2 linked regions of the Oryzias latipes genome follow. The protein of the gene in region 1 interacts with the protein of each later gene in a biochemical or structural test. Links are inferred from orthologs where the notes say so. Each region holds a gene or a part of one and is shown in the gene's direction. Other genes may lie near its edges.

Evidence for each region.
Region 2: the proteins of apex1 (region 1) and mutyh form a complex in vitro, tested with the Homo sapiens proteins (3 studies listed by BioGRID and IntAct, with this or other methods). The link is inferred for Oryzias latipes from reciprocal best matches to the Homo sapiens genes APEX1 and MUTYH.

What each region holds. Positions count from the first base shown.
Region 1 is NC_019881.2:10,825,786-10,829,541, forward strand, and holds the start of apex1 (DNA-(apurinic or apyrimidinic site) lyase), read left to right. Parts: upstream 1-1,340; 5' UTR 1,341-1,463; intron 1,464-2,437; exon of another isoform or gene 2,438-2,460; 5' UTR 2,461-2,531; coding exon 2,532-2,595; intron 2,596-2,672; coding exon 2,673-2,836; intron 2,837-3,598; coding exon 3,599-3,756. Other genes in the region: osgep (probable tRNA N6-adenosine threonylcarbamoyltransferase), read right to left, coding at 24-143, 218-332.
Region 2 is NC_019862.2:6,613,421-6,616,401, forward strand, and holds the end of mutyh (adenine DNA glycosylase), read left to right. Parts: intron 1-142; coding exon 143-240; intron 241-379; coding exon 380-524; intron 525-604; coding exon 605-692; intron 693-766; coding exon 767-949; intron 950-1,080; coding exon 1,081-1,226; intron 1,227-1,310; coding exon 1,311-1,460; intron 1,461-1,997; coding exon 1,998-2,045; intron 2,046-2,159; coding exon 2,160-2,294; 3' UTR 2,295-2,456; downstream 2,457-2,981. UniProt on the Homo sapiens protein: Involved in oxidative DNA damage repair. Initiates repair of A*oxoG to C*G by removing the inappropriately paired adenine base from the DNA backbone. Possesses both adenine and 2-OH-A DNA glycosylase activities.

The sequences.
Region 1 (3,756 bases):
AAAGCAGAACCGCCTGCGTTTACCTTTGGTGTAAGCCACACAGTCGATGTCCGTAGGTTTGAGGCCTGCTTCCTCCAGCGCCTCCTCCAGGACGGTCAGTATAACACTGCGGTGGTGTCGTGCAGTGTCACTCGGCATGAACCCTGCAGAGCCCACGAACGCAAAAGTAGCTTCATACTTTGACATGCGCTCAGTGTGATGTGGGAGCAGATCTTACCTTGACCAGGGGGGGTGATGTAAGTCCTTCTTGGGTTGGAAAGCACTTCGCCATCCTTTATAATGCCAATACCAATCTTATTGGCACTGCCCTCAAACCCGATAACTATGGTCATGGCAGCCGGAAAACTCTTATCTGGAAAGGCAAAACAAATCCAAACACGTATTTAAGATTATAGAATTGGCAACCATGAGCTCAACCTCTTAGAGCTTCTATTCTCGTATCCTTGCAGCTTTCTTTGAAGGTCATTTATTAATTGTCTGTATCCTCTTTGTCCAGGTGAAGTTAGTGGTTACTGAAGCTTCTGCCACAACCTGGACACCAATGGAAGGAGGTGGAGCCTCCACCTATAACTGCAACATGAGGCATCAGCCAGCTTTGACTGTTCCAAATCAACAGCTGATGTCAATGTATGGTAACAACAAAGGAAACTTCAGAGCAAAGAAACAATTTGAAGATGCAGAATCCCTCGTAAAAGACAATCTAACAAAAAACATATTTGTATTTAGAAAGAAACGGAAGTAATTTACTTTTTTTCTTACTTAAAAGTTGAATCAAACATCAAAACATTTTGGCACCAGAGGCAGAATTTCACCATTATAAACAGGAGCACATAATGGTAGCACTAACAAAACCCTAAACTAACGTAAAAAAAATAAACCAGAATTATATTATGATTTACACATTTACATAGACAAAAAGAAAATAGTTTCCTGAATCTATAACAAATGCAAAGAAACAAACAAACAAAATGAACTTTCCATAGAATATTAGACGAATATTCAACTTTCGTAAGCTAACTCGAAAATGTACATATTTTTTAAATATTACCTAGCTTTATGCTTTCTCTCTTTCTTTCTTTGGCATGAATAAATTAAAATTCGTAAAACGATGTTTATTTCGACATTTCTTAAAAGAAACTACAGTTTTTAAGCTATTTTTGCACGCGAGGTTTTCAGGACCCAGGTATCGGTGGGTGAAAATGTGCCTTATCATAAAACTTTATTTACGGTCGCTTTATTACACTTTGTGGTAGGGTTAAATGTTTAGTGGTTAGCGTGAGTAAAAAATGATTATTTAAATATATAAGGATTGTATTGTATTTATATATATATCCTTTGATGTGTCAGGCACATGTGGGGCAGAACGACTTTGAGTGTGTGGGTCGACGTGAGCGCGTGTTTGGGGGAGTGACTGACTGGGGAGCACCATCGAAGTGGAGTTGCATCCTGTTGTGAACGTGCAAGTAAGGTTATTTGCATCTCCTTTTCCTGAAACGTCTCTAAAATAACCCGGCAATTAGCCGCATTTGCATTCGCCCGTTAATTTTAAGCTAGCATAAAAAGCTGCTTGGTTCTTCCACCAGACGGGGCTGCTTCCATTCAAAGAGCAGGCCGCCTGCTGCAGTTTCACTGCTCTTTGTTACAAGAACAACGCTAGTTCCTTGTTAGCTCAACTCGTGAAAAACAAATCCGCGAACACGAGATTCACCACAGAGTTTAGCACCTATACGCACGCGGCCCGGTAAATATGCACAAAACACGTGTTTTTTTGTTTTTGCATATCCTCAAGTAGTACACAATAAAAGAGTGAAGATCCTCATCCCGAGTCTTACATGTCACAACAAGATTGAGGCCTCGTTAGGGATGATGTGCAGGATCCCAAAACACACGGACAGTTTCAAACTGTTGCATTTCATCCAGTTAGGTTCAGCTCTTTGTGTGCTTCAGAGGATACTTACAACTTTTATTTTGACGTCAACCAAGACAATAACCCCTAACTTTCTCCTGGATCATCTTTAAATAAATTTGTTTGAACATGCCAAACACACTCCTCATTTTAAATAAACTTATAGGGGGGGGGGGGGGATAAAATGAGTATAATATCAAAGTATAGTAATTCTATATCAAGTTAAACAAATTTGGTAATATTTTGTCTTTGTGTTAACAATAAGGCTGACTTGTGTGGTAGAATAACAGTAGACAATAAAAAGGTTGTGTCACAGTGTCTTCTTCTAAAGCACTATTTTGTGAAATTTATGATATTTTTATGTTTGTAAAAAGTTTTTTTTCTTTGAAGTAAGTTTGGTTTAAGTGATATTTTTTAAATCCTTTTGAGTTTTTTTTCCCAACAATGTTCTTTAAAGTCAGTGAATTTTAATGTTTGATTTTCTGTCAGGCTGGGCTGCTGTTGACTACACGTTTGTCGAATTCATCAGTTTAATCAGGCGTTCCTGTGTCCAGCGGCGCGTGTGTTGCTGTGTGTGCGTGTTGTGTGTCTGCGAGGAGTGTTTTCTGTCAGATCAAGTTCAAAGATGAAGAGAGGAAAGAAGACGGAGGAAGCAGCGGCAGCAGACGGGGAGAATGACTCCGGCTCTGGTTTGTGCCAAACCTGCCGCTTTGTTTCATTGTTTCGTTTTGAAAATTTTTGAAACATTTTCAATCCTTTACGACAGCTTCTGCAAAGAAACCAAAGAAGACTAAGGAACCCGAGGCCCCCATTCTGTACGAGGACCCACCCGACAAAATGACCAGCAAAGATGGCCGCAGCGCCAACATGAAGATTACGTCGTGGAACGTGGACGGGCTGAGGGCGTGGGTGAAGAAAGGGGGCCTGGATGTAAGCTTACACCAAAAAAAAACCTGTTCACTAGGGCTGGGTGATATAGAATATTTTATATCACAATATAGATTTTTTCATATCAAGCGATAAATATCCCGATATAAACCAAGTAACTATGTGTAACCATGAAATGTGTAATCATCAGCTGATTGTTTAGATTTAAATATCTATTTCCTATTTTAAACATAACAGATGCGATAACGAAGATGATGCAACAGGTTTTTTTTTTAGATAAGTAAATGCATTTGTTACAAAGTAAAATGAAAATTAAAGCAAAAGCTTTCAAGTTTCAAAAGAGAACATAAAATGGAAACCGTTTGATCAGTTCTATTTGAAAACAAAACATACATTTTACAAATAATCGTTCAGTTCTGATTGGATCCTGTTAAAAATCCCCGCTTGTTCCGCTGTTTTATCACTCAAAAGTGAAAACACACACTCCACAGTGGCCGTGGAGGTTGAGCTTGTCTCACGTCGCATTTTTTCACTCGTGTGAAGACTAAAGAAATTCAGCAAAAAGAGAGCTGATGAACATGACTATGCAAACATTTCATGTGGCGACTAACCCATTACGTTTTACTTGCCAAAGAGGAGCAAAAAAACTCACAACCAGCGAGTGTTATTTTCGGACCCTTAAAAATTAAAGTCTAATGTGATAAAGTTCCATTGCTATGTACTGGTATATATTGTTATCGTTTTATCGCCCAGCATTAATGTTTGCTGCTATCCACACTAAAAAAGCATACCTGTCGTTCTCAGTGGGTGCGTGAGGAGGCCCCTGACGTTTTGTGCCTCCAGGAGACGAAGTGCGCAGAGAAAGACCTCCCTGCTGAAATTACCTCCATGCCAGAGTACCCACACAAGTACTGGGCTGTCTCAGATGATAAGGAGGGCTACAGCGGGGTGGCCATGCTAAG
Region 2 (2,981 bases), on another chromosome or scaffold:
AAAACTTGAACCAAAGCAGCTGAAGTGGAACCGCTGGCTTTTGCTTCAATGCTCCATAACGGATCCTCAGAGTTTCAGAATAATCCCGATGTGAGCTACAATTCCCGTTTTTCCCACAACCTGACAGACTTGTGCTGCTTAGGTTGCTGGAGTTGTGGACGGAAACGTGACCCGGGTTCTGTGTCGGCTCAGAGCAATCGGAGCCGACAGCACAAGTCCTGCAGCGAATCAGGCTCTGTGGTAAACATCTACATGGTTTTTGGAAGAATTTCTGTCTAAATCCTGTGAAAACACAAAACTGCTTGATGATTTATTATTTAACATAGTTGAGACGTTGACACATGCTTCAAAAAGACCAGTGGGTTCTTCTCGGTTTTAGGGGTTTAGCCAATGTCTTGGTGGATTCAGAGAGACCTGGAGACTTCAACCAGGCCATGATGGAGCTGGGAGCCCGAGTCTGCACCCCCAAAGGACCTCTGTGCAGCCGCTGTCCCGTCCGGGCCCACTGCCGCTCGCATCAGAAGGTTCATCCGAAGCCCTGAGCGCTGCAGGCGGGAACCAGCTGCTGTGAATTCCAGCTGATGCCGTCGTCGTGTCTCTGCAGGTCCAAGTCCAACAAGAGCAAAACACCAAGAAGCTTCTGGGGAGGACGGACAGAAGCGTCTCAGAGGTGCTGGACGTGGAGGACTGCAGTAAGGCTGCTGTATCTTCTCTTAGCTTCTGTTGGTTGACGATGAAGGTCTGACGTCTTCCCCCTCATCTTCAGTGAGAGGTGGAACGTGTCCCCTGTGTCCCCTGGAGCCGTGGGACGATAGTCTGGGTGTTCAGAACTTCCCCAGAAAGCCAGTAAAGAAGGCGCCCCGAGCAGAGCGGACTCTGACCTGCGTGGTGGTCAGACCCGGGGAGCAGGACGACCACGAGTTCCTGCTCACGCAAAGACCAAACAAAGGTGAGTCTGAGGTCACACCTGCAGCGGGATTCCTGGGGGTGGAGCCCGACTCCAGCACCCTTCTGGACCTTCAGACACTATTTTCTTGGTGGATGGGGATTCCTCAGGATTGAAGGTGGGGCTGTTTTCAGGTCTTCTGGCAGGTCTGTGGGAGTTTCCAAGTCTCTTGCTGCAGGACGGAGACTCCGATGCTGAGCGGAGGAGGGCGCTGTGTCATCAGATCAGCAGAACGCTGAACGCCGACGTGAGCGACGGCCTCCTCCGGCACGTGGGAGAGGTAAGCCCGACGCAAATCACCAACCTGTGGTCCACCAGGAAGCCATCTTTACGCCTCTGTGCGGTGTTTCCTGCTCCTTTGCAGGTGGTTCACGTCTTCTCCCACATCCACCAGACGTACGTGGTCTACAGCGCGCGCTTGAAGAGAAGCGACGCCCGAGTGCAGGCGGAGAACACGCAGTGGCTCACCCGCTCTGCTCTGCAGGGCGCCGCCGTGTCCACGGGGCTGAAGAAGGTCTGAGCCTGTCCTGGTTTTCACCGCAGAGGCGTCAAATGTCTCATTTGATGAAACTGCAGATCTTTGTCTCCATTGGCGGAAAACGGTTAATTATTTAGAGACGATTTTCTTCTCTGCACTCGTCCCGCTCTGATCATTTGGGTTTGCCGTCTTTAGATGGATCTTTACTGTCATTGTCGCTGCTGCAATGAAGTTCAGAAAGTTGTCCCCGGTCTGTGCCACAATCATAGATTCATGGGTCGCAGTAAAAATAATAAAAATACAGGAAAAGTGCACGACGAAAAAAAAAGAAATGAAAACTCATTTGTTACCAGATAAAATTGCATCTATCATTAAAAAAGACAAAAACAGAACACTGTTACTTAGTGATAAAATTGTTAAAACCCACCAAAAAATGAAAGAAAATAGGAATGTGAATAAAAAAAATATATATTTATTTGTTGCAAACTTCAAGCAGTCTAGAAGTCCAGATTTCCTTTGATGTTTCTGAATAAATGTGCTCTTCTCTGAGATGTTTTTTCTGTTCTCCCTCAGATCTTAAAGCTTTATGAATCTCGGGCTGGTTTGGAAGAATCCCCTAAGGTACGAGGCTCGGTCGATGTGTTGACCTCATTGTGACGGATCTGGAGCCGGAGCTGAATGTAGATCTGTTCCGGCGCTGCAGTCTCCAGACGATTCTGTGTGTGTCTGATGCAGGAGGAAAAACCCTCGAAGAACGCCGAGAGAGTGAAGACGTCAAAGAAATCCAGAGCGGCTGCAGCGATGGGCAGAGCCAGACAGCTTCCCCTCAACTCCTTCTTCAAGACGTTGAAGGAGGAGAGTGGCTCATAAGCTGCTTGATGACATCATCATCCTGTTACCGCCTCAGGGATGATGCGGTTCTGCTGTTGGTGTAAAGTTTTCAATCACTGTGATCCTAAAATGTCCCATAATGCTCTTTAGTGTGACATCACTTTTTAAACATTTTATTAAAACCAAACGTTGCGACTTTTATGTTTGCATTCTCAATCACTGACTTATAAGGTCTCAACTACTTTCATTCAAAACTTTATTAACAAAGCCATAAACGACTAAACCTATATTTGAGAACAAAGTTGTGCGATGATCATAAAAAAAGAGTTTTACAAAAATAAAATGGTAAAGTTGGTTGTATTTTCATGAAAATAAAGTTTTACATTTACAAAAAAGGTCAAGTAGATTCAGTGAGATTCTTAATAAGTGTGACATCCTACCAGGGGCCAGGAACATTTTCTATGGGGGGGCAGAAGACTTAGTGGAAGGCCAAGAATTTGTATCTCTAAAAATGTTATAATTGTTATTTTTATTTCATTTAAAATATTGCTGTTGTAATTCTGCAACGCGTAAAAGAAACTTGGGTTGATTTCATAACCCTTGTACTGTCCTAGGCACTTTACCATTGGGAGTTGGGTCATCTAGACCCACTAGACAGTTCTCTGAACCTTTTTTCTTCAATGATTTGTGATCTTCACTGGTGTCCATGGATTACATGAAATCTTT